Linked DNA regions of Oryctolagus cuniculus. The protein of the gene in region 1 purifies or fractionates together with the protein of each later gene. This does not show direct contact. Links are inferred from orthologs where the notes say so. Each region holds a gene or a part of one and is shown in the gene's direction. Other genes may lie near its edges.

Region 1 (4,592 bases):
AAGAATTTCAGAAAGAAACATTCCCTGGGCCGGCGCTACAGTAAAGCTGCCATCTGCAACTCTGGCATCCCATATGGGCGCCGGTTCTAGTCCCGGCTGCTTCTCTTCTGACCCAGCTCTCTGCTATGGCCTGGGAAAGCAGTGGAAGATGGCCCCAGTCCTTGGGCCCCTGCACCTGCATGGGAGACCTGGAAGAAGCTCCTGGCTCTGGCTTTGATCAGCGCAGCTCCAGCCTTTGCAGCCAACTGGGGAGTGAACCAGTGGAGAGAAGACTTTCTCTCTCTCTCTGTAACCCTTTCAAATCAATCAATCAATCTTTTTTTTAAAAAAAAAAAAAAAAACACACTTGCTCTCCTCACAGAAGCGAGTTCAGCCAGCAGTTGATTCACATTTTTCAAGTTTCATTACAATGCCTGTGTTAGGCAGAAGTCAGATATGAGCTTATGTGTGTGTGTGACAAAGGCCTAAGGAGACATTTGGGTCCAGCATATGCATCTCAAAGTCATCCCGATAACCTTCCAGGGGCAGCCCAGTACCTGCATCCTGCCCTGCTCCTTCTACCCAACAACCTGCCTGGTGGGGGTCCCCGACCCTTCTGCCTGACAATCTTCCAGGTGCAGCCCAGCCCCTTCTACCCCATAACCATCCTTCCTCTAAGGCTCCTCTCAGGCGGGCGACCCCAGGCAGGCTTCCCCCTGTCTGATAACTTCAGGGGGAAAACTCAGATTAGAGTTTTTCTATTTATATCCAAAAAGTCCTTTGTTCCAAGAGGAGCAGAGGTGGGGAAGCAAGACCCATGGCCTTAAAATCCCCCGGCCTCAACTGCGCGCTCAGCCCTCTGCCCTCTGCTGAGCCGCCCGCCTGTACTCTCTCCACTCAACCATGCAACCTCGCTCTTCCCCAGTCCGAGCGACTGGGCACTCTCTCTGATTGTCTGGAGAGGTGCCCATCCGTTCTCACGGATGTCACTTCCCTAATAAACCTTGCTATTTTACCTCCCACTACTCTGCCTCAGGCCTGAATTCTTTCTTGCGAGAAGAACGCTGCCATTCACCGGTAACACCTGGAATGTACCCTATTTGTATAATCCTGAAAACAAGCAAATCGCCATTATTTAATCCCCCACATCAACCTAACCCCTTAAAGGCCAATTATGGGGTCCCTGCATTTTGTCTCTGAGTTACCTCTACCAGCTAACACGTGAAACTTTCAGAGACAACACTGCACTTGCATGAACCCTGTGATGTCGCGGGGTCTAGCCGCGGCCGCCGCCTCCTGCAGCCCCGGGGGCCGGGGGCCGGGGGCCAGGAGAGCGTCCAGGGCACAGCCCAGGCCTACAGCCGCCCGGAGGGTGCCGCCATCGGCAGCCGGCGGCAGGGTCTCCCCTCGTGCCATCCCCCGCCAGGCACTCGGGCCCGCATCTGCCCTGGGCGTCACGCCGCGCCACACGGCGCCCCCAAGTCTAGATCGAGCCTGATGGAGCCCACAATGGCCTCAAATCAGAACAACCCAGGAACATTCCTCCGCAACACCCTGAAATACTGGCGCGGTGCCCGGGACGCGCTGACGCATGCGTATCTCGGAGGCGAGGCGGTGGGCGGGAAAAAGGGAGGGGAAGGCGGCGGTTGGGTTAGAGGCGAGCCACGCCCACCGCGCTAACGTCTGTGCGCATGCGCGGCCTCGGGTTTCTGGTACTTTAGTCGCGCCTGGGGGACGTCCGGCTCAGTTGGCGTCAGGACTTCGCTGTGGTAGTTTGCCGCGTTTTTGGGAGTAGGCGCTAAAAGCGCAGCTTCGTCCCGACCTTCGAAAGAAAGGCTGGCCTTAGCCTTTCTTCCGGCCCTGAGGGAGGCGGCGACCGCCGGCCGTAAGTTTCCCGCAGTTCCGTCGGGTGGGGGGGCGGCGTTTCGCGGTAGCGCCGTGGGGCCTAGCGAGGCCTCGGGGCTCGGCTGCTTCCGGGGCGGGCGCCCGGCCCCGCCCCCACTTCCGGGCGCTGAGTTGTTTTCCTGTTTCTCGTTCCCCGCCAGGCTTGAGTTTCCGGGAAGGACTCTGCTCTTCAGACCGCGGGGGCGAGATGTCCGGCTACGTGAGCGCGCTGTGGCCCGGCTCGCCGCAGGACAAGGGCTCGCCGGCCAGCTCGGGCCGCTCCAGCCGCTCGTCCTCCGGCAGCTCTCGCCCGGCCTCCCGCCGCTCGAGCCGGTCGTCGTCGCCGGGCCGGAGCCGCTCCCGCTCCCGGTCCCGCTCCCGGAGGCGCCACCAGCGGAAGTACCGGCGCTACTCGCGCTCCTACTCGCGCAGCCGCTCGTGGTCGCGCAGCCGCCGGCGCGGGGACAGGCGCCGGGCATCGCCCCGCAGGCGCCCCGGGTCTCCGCGGCGGGGCCGCTCCCGCAGCCGCTCGCGCTCCCGGAGGTCGCCGCGCGGGCGCCGCCACTACGGCTTCGGGCGCACGGTGTACCCGGAGCAGCGCGGCCGGCGCCGGGCCCGGTCCCGCACGAGGTCCCGCAGCAGGACCCCCTTCCGGCTGAGCGAGAAAGGTGGGTGTCGGTCCGGGAGGGACGGGGTCTGGGGGTCTCCGCCGCTCGCGGTGCTGCGGGGAAGCCTGGGTGCTGGTGGGGAGGGAGCACGCGGGCTGGAGTGCGGCTGAGAGCGGTGCCCTTGGATGCGGTGGGGGTTGATGCTTCGGGTGGAGGAGACGCTTTCTCCAGGCTGTTTGCTCTCGTCCTGGTCTTTTTCTTTAAAAAAGAAGAAAGTTTTTATTATTTGAAAGAGTTACACAGAGAGAGGAGAGGCAGAGAGAGGTCTTCATCCGATGATTCACTCCCCAGTTACCACAATGGCTGGAGCTGCACCGATCCAAACCAGGAGCTTCTTCTGGTCTGCCACGCAGGTGCAGGGGCCCAAGGACTTGGGCCATCTTCTTCTGCTTTCCCAGGCCATAGCAGAGAGCTGGGTCGGAAGTGGAGCAGCCGGGACTCGAACCAGTGCCCACATGGGATTCCAGCACTGCAGGCCAGGGCGTTGTCCCGCTGCACCACAGCGCCGGCCCAGGCATAGTCTTTTAAATGGGAATGATGTGCTTACCTATTCTAAGTTGCTACTAAAGTAACTACCAGAAATTTTCTTATTTTTGCAGGCAGACAACTTTTCCATCTGCTGCCTCACTGCCCAGATGCTTACAACAGCCAGGGTGGGGCGGGGCCACAGACTGGAGCCCAGAACCCAGTCTCCTCCATGGGTGTCAGGGACCCCTCCTGCTTCCTCCTCAGCAGGGAGCTGGAAGAACTTGAACTTGGGTGCTCTGACATGTGATGGGGGTGTCCCAACTGCTTAAAATTTTAGCTGCTGTGGCATAGTGTGTAAAGCTGCTGCTTGTTGTACCGGCATCCCATATGGGCGCTGGTTTGAGTTTTGGCTGTGCTGCCTCCAACCCAGCTCTCTGCTTTGGTCTGGGAAAGCGGTAGAGGATGGCTCAAGTCCTTTGGCCCTTGGACCCGCATTGGAGACCAGGAAGAAGCTCCCGGCTATGATCAGCTCAGCTCTGGCTGTTGCAGACATCTGGGGAGTGAACCAGTAGATGGACGACCTCTCCCTACCTCCCTCCCCCTCTTCCTCTCTCTAACTGTGCCTTTCAAATAAATGATCTTTAAAGAACATTTTTTAGCTGCTCCCCAAATATCTATCCCTTAAATGAACTGTTGAATTGGGGAGGAAAGTACCAAGGATTTTTTTAAAACTGGTTCCCAGATACCTGCCCCTTAAATATTTATTGAATTGGAGTAATACCAAAACACATTTTTTAAAGTGTCAGTAGTAAACAAAGTTGAATTGTCTAGTATTTTGTAACATGACTTCTGATGTGGTAGGTGGGATTGTGGAATAGGAAAAAATTAGGTAACAAACTTACGGAAGTGTGAATGTGGGCTTTAGTAGTAGTAGTATTGATCAAGAAGTTGATATCAAAGGTCTGTTAAAAACTCCTAGGTTCAGAAATAACTATTTGAAGAGAAAATAACAAGGTGGTTGTCAGAAGAACTGAAACTAGGGTTTCACTGTGCCTGTGGCAAATAAACACGGCTTTTACACATCTGGATATAGCTGTTTTAAGTAAAACAAGCACATTTTTGGGAAAAACTACAGGATTAATAATAATGAATGTGTCTTTTTGTTTGTTTAATAGATCGAATGGAGCTGTTAGAAATAGCAAAAGCCAATGCAGCGAAAGCTTTAGGAACGACCAACTTTGAGCTGCCGGCTAGTCTCAGAGCGGTTTTAGTAGCCAGAGAAACAAGCCGTGGGGCGGCCGTGTCAGATGATGGCGCGAAGGCTGAGGTAAGCACTCTCGTTTACACGAACAGACTCTTGAGAAAGCTGCTGCCAGAGGGGTTTCATTAGCCGTTTTGATTTACCTTAGACTGTCTCTCTTGGGATGTCTACCCATACATAATTCCCTAAAATTAGCAGTCGTGACCTTCTAGACAGGATCGCACCTGTGAGAATGGGAAGTTAATGAGCTTTACCTTCAGTAGACATGGTGTTAGTCATTTCACGACAACATCAATATATGGTAGCTGGGACATTGGTGATTTTTATTAAGT
Region 2 (4,829 bases), on another chromosome or scaffold:
TTCTGTTAAAAAGAAATGGGGGGTGGGGGATAATTTATTAGGCTCCTCAGCAAATCCTCTAGCGAGAGGTATTCTCCAGGTCAGGTAAAACTCACCTTGCGTAATTTATATCCGGCTTAAGCACCCGAGAAGTTTCCAGAGACTCATGTTCTTCTCCGGGGGGCAGAGGATGCAAACAGCTTCTAAGTAGCTTTCATGTTTCAGTACAGAAATATGTTTACCCCTGTAACACTGAGGTAGTTTTTAATATAGTATTTAGTTTTCTATTGGGCTTTTAAGGAAGTTATTTTTTTATCATAGCTGCTCAGGGATGAATCCAGGTTGGAAAGCCCACCCTAGCTCCACGTCACTAACACAGAAATAAGACCTGTCTGTCGAGCTGCAGGGGATGCTACACCTTAAACTTAGCGCTTTCACAGTGACACTGCACCATAGCCCCGAGCTACCCTTTCCCACCTCCTCTGAGCGGCTGTGTGCAAACAGTGTCCTCAAGCAGGCGGCGTGGGGCGTGGCTCAGGCGGCTGTCCTGCTTACATCATCACAGAGGGTGAAACGTGGGGTAGGGCACCTTTCCTTACAAGGGCGAGGACCCCAATCCCTGTCCTTGATAAAAAGCTTTCATGCTGCAAACCTGCTGACTGGGAAGGAGATGCCAGATGAGGACAAGGTTTTGCTCGGGGAGGGAAATTGCACTGTGATACCTAAATCCTCCGTCCACTACGGATGTGGCCATGCATCTCTGACACCAGTGCTTTAGCATAAGAGAAAGCACGGGCCCCGTGGGCGAGAATGTTATGTTGTATTTCATAAGAATATTGTAACCTGCAGAGAAATCCCGAGGGAGGGAAAAAATCAGGTTGGCTCAGGCGTACGTTGTATTTTGAGTCTTAAATAAAGCTATGAAAAGATCAACTCCTGTGTATATATATAATGCTCACATTCGCACCTGACTAGCAAGTGTCCATTGAGAACAAGTCTTGTACATGATGCATGTCCCTTCTTTCTTGTGTGTCCTTGCCCTTATTCACAGAAAGCTGTTTTGAAAATATTAAGTATTAGCCTTACGATTGCCACAAAGCTAGGGAGACATTTTCTTGGTACCTTCCACACCCTGGCGAGTGCAGAACCAGATGTTAGCCATGGCTTCTGGCTCCCGGCAAAATGACTTTGCCTGAGAACTTGGATGCAAGGCCGGAGGGAGCAGGTGAAGCCAGTCACGAGAGGTTAACCATGGGCACCGCGCCTCGCGCCTCTGGGTCTCACCTGGCTGCAGTGAGGGGAGTCAGCCAGGCAAGCGAGCAAAGCCAGGGCTTGATGCACACGAGAGAGCAGAGAAGGCCTGCGAGAGGTGTGCTGCCGTCGAGTGTGGAGGACGTGTGCAAGCCTGGCGCGCTCTGAGAATTAACCACAAAGCTCTGCGCACCAGACCCCAACACACTCCCGGGGCGGTCCAGGAATCCGGATTCGAGGCTGCACCGGCGGTCCCCGGCAGAGGGCGCCATCCGGCCCGCGGTGCCTTCGGTCTTTGGAGCGCCGGCGGCGGGAGACGCTTCCGGGCGAGGGCGGGCTTCCGGCGGCGGGAGGTCACTTGGGCGCTTTGGCCCGGGTCGTCCGTCGCCGCCGCACGTGTCTGACGCCGTCCGCGCGATGCTACCGCTGCTTCGCTGCGTGCCCCGCGCCCTGGGCCCCGCCGTCGCCGGCCTCCGCGCCGCGGCCCCGGCCCCGCCGCTCCGGCCGCTGCTGCTGCCCGCGCCCCGGCCTTGCGCCCGGCCGTTCGGGCTGCTCAGCGTGCGCGCGGGCTCGGTGCGGCGGCCCGGCCTCCTGCGGGCTCGCGAGCCCTGCTCCTGCGGCTGCGGCGCGCTGCACACGGAGGGTGAGGGGCTCGCGCGTGGCGTGGGGGACCTGATTCCCGACGGCGACTGACAGCACCGCTCCCCGGCTCCCCCGGCCCCGGGTGCGGTTTGGGGGGTGGGGTGCTGCGGCGCTCGTGACGGAATTGGCTTCTCCGGGCGAGCGGATGCAGCTGCCCGCTTCCAGGCCGGATAGCGTTGGGGAGGCGAGGCGGATGCCGGGCAGAGGGCGGCGGTCCCCGGGTCCCCGGGTCCCCGGGTCCCTGTCGGGTGCTTGGCGCTCCTTGACGTCTCCGCGATTCCTCCCCAGGAGATAAAGCCTTTGTGGATTTCCTTACCGACGAGATTAAGGAGGAGAAGAAAATCCAGAAGCATAAAGCCCTTCCCAAGATGTCTGGAGGCTGGGAGCTGGAGGTGAACGGCACAGAGGCTAAACTCGTGCGCAAAGTGGCCGGGGAGAAGTAAGTGCACGGCGCGCCCCGGGGTGCGCGGCGTGGGGCGGCCTCTGGCTCGGGACCCTAAGCTCGCTGGAGCCACATGTCAGCCACCCCGTGTGACTTCACAGCGGGACCCTTCCGCAGCCGCCCTGTCCCTTCTTCCCCCTCCGGCCCCTTGAAACCGCCAAGCTGCCTTCTCTGGATTTGCCTGTGTGGGACATTTTGTGTGAGTGGGAGTCATGCAATATGTGGCCATTTGTGTCTACCTCCCCCCCCCCCCCCAAGATTGATTTATTGGCTTGAAAGGTAGAGTTAGAGACGTCTTCCATCCACCCCAACAGCCAGAGCTGGGCCAAGCTGGAGCCAGGAGCCAGGCAGCAGGCACTTTTTCCATGTCCTCCCACGTGGGTGCAAGGGTCCAACACTTGGGCCAGCTTTTTTTTTTTTTTTTTTTAAGATTAATTTATTTGAGAGGCAGAGAGTAAGAGAATTACAGAGAGAAGGTTACAGAGAGGCGTCTGAGCAGGGAGCTGGATCCAAAGCAGAGCAGCCTATGGGTGCCAGCGTTGTAGGCAGCAGCTTAGCCAGCTGTGCCACAACACTGTCACCCCCGCACCCCCGTTGTTTTTGAGGTTCATTCATACTAGTAATAGCATGTACCAATAGTTAGCTTTTTTAATGACAACATAATATTTCATTATGTGGATATGCTAGATTTTATTTATGTAAGGAAATGGGAGACAGACCAGAGGAGACAAGATACGAAGTCAACGGCCAAAATCAATTAAGAAGAAAAATGGGAGCCAGCGCTGTGGCATAGCACGCTAAGCTGCCACCTGCGGTGCCTGCATCCCATATGGGTGCCGGTTCAAGTCTTGGCTGCTCCACTTCTGACCCAGCGCCCTGTTTCTGCTCCTGGGAAAGCAGCGGAAAATGGCTCAAGTGCTTGGGTCCCTGCACCCACATGGGAGGCCTGGAAGAAGTTCCTGGTTTCCATCTGGCCATTGTAGCCATTTGGGGAGTGAACCAGCAGATGGAAGATCTCTTTCTAACTCTGTCTTTCAAATACAATAAATAAATCATAAAGGAAAAAAAAAAAGACAAGTGAATTTGCAAAGATGGCCAACCACTGGCATGCGCACAGACAGAACACGTGGCCGAGAGAGCAGGAATTTATTTACGGGCTGGATTTAAATAGCATAGGCCTGATAAGGGCCATGAGGTGCAGTGGAGCTGAGCTAGCTTTTCTATGGAATGCAGAATGCAGAGGGTAGGGTGGGCAACAGTACAGGGCGTAGGACTGAGCTGGTCTCTTGAAGGAAGGTAAAGGGTCCCTCAGGCAAAGAGCCACAATGCCTGAGGCTCATGTCCTTGTTCTGTCAGTTATCCATTCATTTGTTGGCAGGCATTTGACAGGGTTCTATTTACTTTGTGATTCTGGTTTTTTATTTATTTATTTTTTTAATTTTATTTATCTGACAGATAGTTATAGACAGAGACAGAGAGAAAGGTTTTCCTTCCGTTGGTTCACCCCCCAAATGGCTGCTACGGCCGGCGCTGCGCCAGTCCGAAGGCAGGAGCCAGGTGCTTCTCCTGGTCTCCCATGGGGTGCAGGGCCCAAGCACTTGGGCCATCCTTCACTGCCTTCCCGGGCCACAGCAGAGAGCTGGCCTGGAAGAAGGGCAACTGGGACAGAATCTGGCGCCCCGACCGGGACTAGAACCCGGTGTGCCAGGCGCCGCAATGCAGAGGATTAGCCTATTGAGCCACAGCGCCGGCCTTTACTGTCGTTTTGAAAGACAGATAGCTCCCATGTGCTACTTCACTCCCTAAATATTGAAATGTCCAGGTATAGGCTACGCTGGAGCTGGGAGCTGAATCCAGGTTACCAGGTTATTGCCTTAAAGGTGGGCTTTAGATATTCTGGGTGCAGTTCCCCTTATCAGACACAGGGTGTGCAAGTGTTTTCTCCCATCCTTGGGTGTTTTTTTCCTTTCCCTATGTTATTGGTATTGACATACACTTTTTTTAGTTATTGTTTGACTACACCAAGTGAACTATTTTTTTAAAGATTTATTTATTTATTTGAAAGAGTTACGCAGTCACTCCCCAGTTGGCCACAACGACCAGAGCTGTGCCAATCCAAAACCAGGAGTCAGGAGCTTCTGCGTCTCCCACATGGGTGCAGGGGCCCAAGGACTTAAGCCATCTTCTATTGCTTTCCCAGGCCATAGCAGAGAGCCAGGTATGGAGTGGAGCAGCCGGGTCTCAAACTGGCGCCCATATGGGATGCCTGCACTGCAGGCCAGGGCGTTGACCCGCTGTGCCAAAGCACAGGCCCCAACATACACTTCTAATTTTGATGAAGCTCAATTTACTGGGTTTTGTTTTTTGTGTATGTGGGCTTTTTTTTTGTTTTTTTGTCATTTGTGCTTTTTTGACATCACATTTGACAAACTGTTGGGTAACCAAAGTTTCTAGATATTTATGCCCGGATTTACTTGTAAGAGGAGTTTAGCTCTTTAGGCCCGTGATCACTTTG
Region 3 (4,106 bases), on another chromosome or scaffold:
TGCTGGTTGTAGTTCCGGCCACTCCTCTTCTGATCCAGCTCTCTGCTATGGCCTGGGAAAGCAGTAGAAGATGGCACAAGTGCTTGGGCCCTTGCACCCACGTGGGAGACTTGGAAGAAGCTCCTGGCTCCTGGCTTCGGATCAGCACAGCTCCGGCCATTGCGGTCGTTTGGGGAGTGAACCAGCGGATGGAAGACTTGTCTCTCTGTCTCTCCCTCTCTCTCTCTCTGTAATTGTCTCTCAAATAAAATCCTTTAAAATAAAAGTTTAAAAAAAAGTGACCTCGGTACTTGTCTTGCTCAGAATCTTTGAATGACTTCCTTTCCCAGTCATTACCATGTCATCGCCAAGATGATGTATGATCTGTGTTTTTCTGCCCCTCTCTAACCTTATTCCTTATCACTCCTTTTTCAGCCACATTAGTCTCTTTAAGACTTTCTCTGTGCAGAACAGTACCTTCTTCTATTTGCTTTTAGTTTTTGTTTATATGTATTTCACTTCTGGGCTTATCTTTTCCCAGCAGATTGTAAGCTTCACAGGGGCGGAGATACTGTTTTGTGCACTGTTATGTCCGCAGCCTAGGATGGTACTTGGCATGTAGGAAGTGGTACTGAATAATTATTCAATAAATTAAGTAGTTTCTTAAGTGTTATGACTCAAGAAAACTCTAGATCATGTAGCAAAATCTGTTGAGTAGAATAAAGGATCTAGTTAAAGGGCTACATTAGGGAGAAAAAAATTACCCCCCATTAATCTATGCTATCTGGTAATTGTACAAATTGATAATCTTTCAGTTTTTTTAAATGCATGTATCTCCGAGATACAGTTTTCATATACTAAAATTTCACTCTTTTAAAGTGTACCATTCAGTGATTTCTAAAATATATTTATAAAGCTAACCACCATTGCCCCTAATTGCAGATCATCTCGTCTTAGAAATTCCACACCCAAATGCAGTCATAATATGTTATCCTGTGTGTCTGGCTGCTTTTACTTAGTATGTTTTCAAGGTTTATCCGTGTTGCAGCATATGTCAGCATTTCTTTCTATGGATGAGTACTTTTCCATTATTGTGGATATAGCACTTTATCTATTTGAGAGGCAGAGAGAGAGAGAGAGAGCAAGCTTCTTTCTGCTAGTTTACTCCCCCAGATGCCTGCAGCAGCCTGGGGACTGAGGCTTGGAGCCAGAAGCTTATTCCAGGTTTCCTGGAACACAACAGGTGGCAGGAACACAACTACTTGAGCCATCACCACTGCCCCTCAAGGTCTGCATTAGCAGAAAACTGGAATCAGGATTAGGAGCTTGGAGGTGAGCCTAGGCAGATGGAGCAGTTTAAAAAAAAAACAAAAACAACTCTGCTTGTTTATGGACATTTGGGCCGTTTGACTTTTGGTGATTAAGTAAAATGCCACTGTGAATATTTGTGTTCCAACTTTGACCATGTATTTTTATTCTGTTGAGTATATACCTGGGAATAGAATTACTGGATTGTATGATGAACTATAGCATCTTTCCATTGTGGCAAAAAAGTGGAAACACTCCAGATGCCCATGAATTGATGGATGGGTTTTTTAATCTTGTAGCTCTGCAATGAAATTTTACTCTGTCAGAAGAAGAAATGCAGTGGTAACAACATGGATAGTACGTGAATACATGCTAAGTGAAAGAAACTGGTCATAAAGGACCACGTAGTGTGTAATTCTGTTCACGTGCAGTGTATGGAACAGGCAAATCCCGAGAGAAAGACTGGGGGAGCTCCCATCCATTTGTTCATTCCACAAATGCACAGTGGCCCTCTTCTGGGGCTGAGACTGGAAACTGAATTCAGGTCTCCCATTTGCATGGTGACTTAGGTCACTTAGGTCATCATCACTGCCTTCCAGGATCTGTGTACATGAGCAGGAAGCTGGAGTCAGGAACTAGAGATGGGTCTCAAACCCAAGTACTCTGATAAGGAATGTGGGCATCTTGACCACTAGGCTAAACACTTGTCCCAAATTAGACATTCTGACTGACTTTTATAATAATTTATGAAAATATTTTATAGAAAATGAAGTGAATTTTATAGCTTTAAGAAATATTTTCAGGAGCTGGTATTGTGGTACAGTGGGTTAAGCATCCACTTCAGATGCAGGCATTTGTAATAAGCACCAGTTTGAGTCCCAGCTGCTCTGATTCCCACCCAGCCCCATGCTAATGCACCTGGGAAAACAGCAGAAGATGGCCTGAGTACCTGGGCCCCTGCCACCCATGTGGGAGTGCTGGATGGAATTCTAGGCTCTTGGCTTGAGTCCGGCCCAGCTCTAGCCATTGCAATCATTTAGGGGAGTGAAACAGTGGATGGAAACTATTTCTCTCCTCTCTGTCTGTCTCTCTCTCTGTCTCTGTCTCCATCTCCCCTCTTCCCCCTCCCTCTCTCACACTCCCTCCATAACTCTCTTTATCTGTAACTCTGCATTTCTAATAAATATTAAAAAATTTTTTCAGTTTTTTTTTTAAATTAGGTAAAAGTAAATTCAGACCATTTCCTTTTCAATAAATGTAATGTGTAATATTGGGCTGATGTTGTGGCTCAACAGGTTAAGCCACTGCTAGTGACAGCTGCATCTGTTATGAGTGTCAGTTTGAGTCCCAGCTACTCTGCTTCCAATCCAGCTTCTTGCCAGTGTGTCTGGAAAGGCAGTGGAAGATGGCCCAAGTACTTGGGCCCCCACAGCACATGTACAAGACCAGGATGGGGTTCGTGGTTCCCAACTTCAGCCTGGCCCAGCCTTGCTTTAGGGATCATTTGGGGAGTAAACCAGCAGATGAAAGCTCTGTCTCTCTCTATATGCCTTTCCTCCTTATCTGTTGCTCTACTTTTCAAATAAATCCTTTTTAAAGATAGCTGTAATATTAATCCCTCCTCACTTTCTGCCCTCACCCCTTTAAACATCTTTTAGGTTTGCCCTCGTTGGTGTTGGATCTGAAGCATCTTCAAAAAAGTTAATGGATTTGTTGCCTAAAAGAGAACTTCATGGTCAGAATCCTGTTGTAACTCCATGCAATAAACAGTTCCTGAGTCAATTTGAAATGCAGTCCAGGAAAAGTAAGCAATTCCCCCCAGAGGCTTTTATTCAAATATGTTCATTTTAACCAGTTAGTAGCATGTATTAGATGTTATTAGGGAAATCATTGTAATAGTTCATTGGGGAATCACCCCAGAAAAGGTCCTGTTTTAATTTAACCACTGATTATGATTGTGGGCCCATGTACAGAGAACCAGCTCCGTTCCATTTTCTTCCTGATGTCACAGACCTGCTACTATGCAACAGTGTTCATGTTCAATAGTGCTGCCATTCTTGTCCTGTCATTCTCATCTCAGAGAAAAGATCTAGATTCTAATTCTTAGATTGGAAGAAAGCTATATGGATGTGTGTTATGGTGTGGGAGACCACTGATAACCAGAAAATATTTGTTGATTTTCTGCTTGGCACCAAGACCTTTCACCACTTGGTAAAGTGAGTGTAGAGAAGACTTGCATTGCACACACCAAATATTATCATTGAAAGCAATAAGATGGATGACCCTGCAATTCACAGAGATTCAAGTGGTTGTTTTTCTTTTAGTGTTTTAGCACTTAAGACATAACTGAAGAATATGTTACAAATTTTAAATGATCTCTTTGCTACTGAAATTAAGATTTCTGTTGAAGAATTTCAGTCTTGGCTGCTGCAGAGTACTGGTATTTTGAAAGTGATTCATTTAATCATTGGAAATATATTTAAACTGGTATTTTGAGACTTAAATAGATGTGATTGTTTTCCTAACCAATACTTTTTATGTAGCTTGCACAGGCCCAAGGCATCTGAAAGTTAATATATAGCGTAAATGGACTTTGAGGTAGAATTGTTTCTAGTAGCAGTGGTTACATTTCAAAAAGCTGTTCTAATAAGTGCTATTTATGAGTATTTGGATATTTGCAGCTACACAATCAGGACAAATGTCTGGGGAAGGTAAAGCTGGTCCTCCAGGAGGCAGTTCACGTGCAGCATTTCCACAAGGTGGTAGAGGACGGGGCCGTTTTCCAGGGGCTGTTCCCGGTGGGGACAGATTTCCTGGGC
Region 4 (4,802 bases), on another chromosome or scaffold:
ATTTCACCTGTTTCTTTTACTGTTTTAAATGTGGCTAATAGATGGTTTTTAACCTACCTATGGGACTGACATATTTCTAGGCTCTGGGACAGTGAGTGCTGTTTCATAGCCTAGCGCAGTGCCCTGGCCCACTTTACTGAATGAAATAACCAATGTTAAGAGATACACTAGGGGACCCACGTTGTGGCTTAGCCCACATGGGCTGCGGTTAGGTCCCAGCTGCTGCGCTTCCAATCCAGCTCCCTGCTAATGCGCCTGGGAAAGCACCAGAAGATGGCTTAAATGCTTGGGCTCCTGCACCCACGTGGGAGATCCAGAAGAAGCTCCTGGCTGCCGGCTTCAGCCTTTGCGGCCATCTGGGGACTGAACCAGTGGTTGGAAGACACCCCCCCCCCCCGCAACTCTGCCTTTCAAATAAATAGGCCTTGTTTTTCAAAAAAACATACATGCAAACGAATGGGTGAAGAGTGCGCCTTAGGCCTCCGTTAGGAAAACGGATAAGGCACCGCCCTAGCAGTCAGGAGAGCCGGCTTGCGGGGGCCCCCGCGGACCTGGGACACGCCCTGCACTAATCCAGCCATCAGTGTGCCCATTACGTAGTTGACCTCTGAGGTCTGGAAGCGTATGGTACAATGAAAGGTGTTTGTCTCTAGCCACAGCACTTGAGCTGCGGCCAACGGGAAAAGGTAGCGGGAATCACAGACTAAAATCCCGAACTCGGCACCCGGGCCACCCGCTTCCTCCGGCCGACGTCACTGGGGCGCGACGGAGTCGTCTGGCGGGCAGCTGCGACCTGAGAATCCCTTCGGGGAAGGCGAATCGGGGCCAACAGAAAGCCAAACAGTCCCCGAGTCTCTTGAAAGCTCAGTTCTCAAAAAACCAACTCCTACCACCTTCCCTTTTGCTTCACTCTCAGCCAGCTTAGCAGCCGGCCGCGACCAGTCCCAGTCGCAGAGCCCCCAGCCCGACAGACAGCGCGCCTGCGCAGAGTACGCGCGCATCCTCGCGGGAGCCCCGGCGATTGGCTGTGACGTAACTTCCGGCGTGAGCGGCGAAAGCCGGGAGGGCGAGGGAGAGTGCGAGCAGGCAGCAGGCAGCAGGCGGGCAGGCGGACGGACCGCACGGAAGGAGGGAGCGAGCGAGCAGTGAGTGAGCTAGAGACGGCGGCCGGGTCCCGAGGGCAGCCGGAATTCCTCAGGTCCCCCTGGCCCCTCCCCGGAGCCCACAGCGCCTCCGGTCTCCAGCGGAGCGGACACGGCCCGGCCCGGCCATGGCCTCGTTGCTGAAGGTGGATCAGGAAGTGAAGCTCAAGGTAGCGGCACCGGTCCGGGCCTTCTCACCCCTCGCTTCTGTCCCCCAGCCGTCTGACCGCCTCCCTACTCCCCGTGGTGTCTTTGTCTCCCTGGGGACACCGGCTCGGAGCTTCCGCCCGGCTCAGCCCAGCCCCCCACGCCCGGAGACGGCCTTAGGGGGAAGGGTATTACAGAGAGGCCTTCCGTCCCCGCGTCTGGTGATGGAGAACCCGGGGAGACCTCTGCAGGCACGTGTTGGAGTCATTGCTTTCGGCCGGTGACAGCTGGGAGTCCCCCAGCCCAGCGACGCCCCCGCCCCGGGGGCGCTGCCCCTGCCCTTGGCGGCTGGCCCGCTTCCTGTCATAGGCCAGGTGTGAGGTGGGCTAGGCACGTTTGTGATCTCACATCCCCGCATCTCCCTGTCTTTGTCAAATTCAGACAGCTTCAGACGCAGGGAGGGAGGGGAGAGGAGACAGGCGGGTGCTGTCTCCGAGCCCCGCTTTCCTCTCCTGAGATGGAGAAATGGATCCTCAAAAAAATAAAGTATTTGCAGTCTGGGGGCCTCTCAGCTTCTCATTACAATCGCCAGGTGAGGGGCAGAGAGCTGGGTTTGGGATTCCCCATCCTGTCCTTACCTCTGTTGCCAGGTACTGAATTGCTCTTCCTGAATTGCTGTCTTTGTTCTTTTTAGGTTGATTCTTTCAGGGAGCGGATCACAAGTGAGGTGAGTGAAATGGAGAAATGCGTATTGATTAGGAGTTGGGAGTTTCCCCAAGAGGAGGTGATTGCAGAGGGAGCCCTTCCCTCTGTCATTAATTCAGTTGTATTTTCCCTTATCTAGGCAGAAGACTTGGTGGCAAATTTTTTCCCAAAGAAGTTGTTAGAACTTGATAGTTTTTTGAAGGTGAGAGACACTTTGCTTACTTCAGTTCCCCAGCGTCTTCAGGCCTGCCCTTTCTGTCAGATGGAACCAGTTGTGTGCTGACTCTGTTTTGTTTTGTGCTGTAAAGCACTCTCACGGCTTGCCCTTCCAGTGAAATGGTTCTTTGTTCAGCTTGAAAAGACCAATGTTTTGAGGGTGGGCCTGTCTCTTTCAGGAACCAATCCTAAACATCCATGACCTAACTCAGATCCACTCGGACATGAATCTCCCGGTCCCTGACCCCATTCTGCTCACCAATAGCCACGATGGACTGGATGGTGTAAGTGGCCCGTGTTTATCTTTGTGTTCTGAAGCAATAGGTTCTCTGTTTTCTAGTTCCTGGGGAGCTGGAACATACGTCGGGGGATGGTGGCATTGGGGTCTGGCATGATGGCTCCAGGATACTTTCAGACCCTGATGTGCATGTCTAAAACGAGGTGAATGCGCCCCAGGGAGTCTCAGTGCACTAACCTGGCCACAGGCCCCCGTCGCTTCCCAGGCTGAACAGGCTCCTCTTGCCTCCGCTTCACGGCCTTGAGTCTCGTGGCTGAGGCGCTTGCCGTGGAGTCGCAGACCCTGCCTTTTCCGTGCAGTCACCATCTGCGTCCTCTTAGCACACCGATGACGCTTTGTTCTTTGTCAGCGTCTCCTCGGTAGAACTTGCACGTCTGCAGGCGGGAACTGTCTTCATTGTCCTCGTGTCCTCGGCACCTAGCTTTGTTCCCAGTGCCCAGCGATTGCTGAATTCTTGTTAACTGAATATGGTGTTCCCTCATGGAACCAGCAAGTTTGTACATATCCCCTTAATTATCCTCACCGTGCCTCGATTGGTTCCTTTTTCCTGCTCTTTATAGTGTCCTCCCTTTCCCCCAGTTGCTTAAAGTGTTGTGTTTCTTGCAAGGTTGTTGCTTGGTGGCAAGAACATTTCTTCAGGCTTTATATGTACTTGGGAAATTATGCAGAAAAGAACAGGACAACCTACAGGGTCAAGGAACAGTTGACTTGCTTGAAGGGTGTCTTGTGGGTGTGTACGGCAGGCTGATTCCTGCCTCTTTGTGTCCTTAGCCCACTTACAAGAAGCGAAGATTGGATGAGTGTGACGAGGCCTTCCAAGGTAAGAGCCACCCCGGTGCCCCCTGACCTCCCCCTGACCGCCTGACCGCTTGCCCTGGGAAGTAGGATGGATCTGGCGTTCCCTCAGCCCAGAAGCAAGACCTGCTTTCCCAGAGCCAGTGTTCCCAAGTCCCCCGGACAGGGGCGTCATTTAGCATTGACCTCGTGTGGGCCGCTGAGGGGGAGTGGTTGGAGCAGCAGCCCACACAGCTCGCGCGGGTCAGAGAAGCCCCAGTGCCATGTTACTTATTTCCTTCTCAGCAGTAGTTGTTGATGTGTTCCGTCTTTAAGGTGTTTATTTATTTTTAAAGATTTATTTTATTTATCTTTAAAGATTTACTTTGTTTATTTGAAAGGCAGAATTAGAGATCTGTCCTCTGGAACAGACACAATGGCTGGGGCTTGGCTAGGCCGAAGCCAGGAGCTTCTTCCAGGTCTTTTACGTGGGGCAGGGGCCCAAGCACTTGGGTCATCTTCTGTTGCTTTTTTAGCAGGGAGCTGGGTTGGAAGTGGAGCAGCGAGGACTGAAACCAGTGCCCATATGGGATGCTGCTGTTGGCTTAACCTGCTGTGCCACAGTGCTGGCCCCATTTTAACGTTCTTGTTCTTAGACTTCGGGCATACTTTGGATGCTTATCTACTGAGCTGTGCATCTCTGATTCTGTCAGTGGTGCCGTGGTAGGACTGTGACAGATGAAGGGCAGCGGTCAGAGCCCTCACTGGCCTGGGAAGGAGAGTGGAAGATGCCCCGGCCTCCCTCCTGCCTAATCATTCGACCTTCCCATCCCTGCCAGGAACCAAGGTGTTTGTGATGCCCAATGGGATGCTAAAAAGCAACCAGCAGCTGGTCGACATTATTGAGAAAGTGAAACCTGAGATCCGGCTGCTGATCGAGAAATGTAACACGGTGAGGCAGGGGCTAGTGACCCGTGGGCTCACTGCGGGTAGCCCCACTGACACCATGAGACTGGTGGGTGAGGGGCTGGGGGCGTGGCGCTGGGGTGGGCTGCTGGCACAGTAGCTGTCTTAACTCGTGGATTCCTAGCATCTGGCCACAGCAGTACCAGCTGGGTACTTCGTGGCTTCAGCAGAAAAGCCCAGCATCTTCATATATGTGTTTTGGGCTCTCACCCTCCAGGTGAAAATGTGGGTACAGCTCCTGATTCCCCGGATAGAAGATGGGAACAACTTTGGAGTGTCCATTCAGGTAGCGTGCCTGCCTTCCAAACTGAGGAGAAAGGTTGGGTGATACGCTCGTCCCTCCCGCTTTTTCTGCTTTTCCCTTCTCTTTGGGGCGGCTCGGGGTGGTGTGGAAGTGGCTTTTGATTTACCAGGTTTTGGGGTTTTTGTTTTTCAGGAGGAGACAGTTGCAGAACTAAGAACCGTTGAGAGTGAAGCTGCATCTTATCTGGACCAGATTTCTAGGTAGGCCTGCCTGGGCGTGGCCCAGGAATTAGGGGCTGGTGAGCTGCCAG

What was found.
Region 2: the proteins of RSRP1 (region 1) and C1QBP purify together in Homo sapiens (affinity purification with mass spectrometry; 3 studies listed by BioGRID and IntAct, counting the BioPlex papers as one, with this or other methods). This does not show direct contact. The link is inferred for Oryctolagus cuniculus from reciprocal best matches to the Homo sapiens genes RSRP1 and C1QBP.
Region 3: the proteins of RSRP1 (region 1) and CPSF6 purify together in Homo sapiens (affinity purification with mass spectrometry; 3 studies listed by BioGRID and IntAct, with this or other methods). This does not show direct contact. The link is inferred for Oryctolagus cuniculus from reciprocal best matches to the Homo sapiens genes RSRP1 and CPSF6.
Region 4: the proteins of RSRP1 (region 1) and PSME3 purify together in Homo sapiens (affinity purification with mass spectrometry; 3 studies listed by BioGRID and IntAct, counting the BioPlex papers as one, with this or other methods). This does not show direct contact. The link is inferred for Oryctolagus cuniculus from reciprocal best matches to the Homo sapiens genes RSRP1 and PSME3.

What each region holds. Positions count from the first base shown.
Region 1 is NC_091438.1:146,019,835-146,024,426, forward strand, and holds the start of RSRP1 (arginine/serine-rich protein 1), read left to right. Parts: upstream 1-1,697; 5' UTR 1,698-1,864; intron 1,865-2,024; 5' UTR 2,025-2,071; coding exon 2,072-2,531; intron 2,532-4,174; coding exon 4,175-4,326; intron 4,327-4,592.
Region 2 is NC_091448.1:50,895,901-50,900,729, forward strand, and holds the start of C1QBP (complement component 1 Q subcomponent-binding protein, mitochondrial), read left to right. Parts: upstream 1-1,559; 5' UTR 1,560-1,647; coding exon 1,648-1,873; intron 1,874-2,160; coding exon 2,161-2,311; intron 2,312-4,829.
Region 3 is NC_091442.1:71,570,219-71,574,324, forward strand, and holds part of CPSF6 (cleavage and polyadenylation specificity factor subunit 6), read left to right. Parts: intron 1-2,945; coding exon 2,946-3,091; intron 3,092-3,968; coding exon 3,969-4,106. UniProt on the Homo sapiens protein: Component of the cleavage factor Im (CFIm) complex that functions as an activator of the pre-mRNA 3'-end cleavage and polyadenylation processing required for the maturation of pre-mRNA into functional mRNAs.
Region 4 is NC_091448.1:20,081,529-20,086,330, reverse strand, and holds the start of PSME3 (proteasome activator complex subunit 3), read left to right. Parts: upstream 1-1,735; 5' UTR 1,736-1,806; coding exon 1,807-1,881; intron 1,882-1,983; coding exon 1,984-2,016; intron 2,017-2,133; coding exon 2,134-2,196; intron 2,197-2,389; coding exon 2,390-2,494; intron 2,495-3,279; coding exon 3,280-3,328; intron 3,329-4,121; coding exon 4,122-4,234; intron 4,235-4,465; coding exon 4,466-4,534; intron 4,535-4,684; coding exon 4,685-4,752; intron 4,753-4,802. UniProt on the Homo sapiens protein: Subunit of the 11S REG-gamma (also called PA28-gamma) proteasome regulator, a doughnut-shaped homoheptamer which associates with the proteasome. 11S REG-gamma activates the trypsin-like catalytic subunit of the proteasome but inhibits the chymotrypsin-like and postglutamyl-preferring (PGPH) subunits.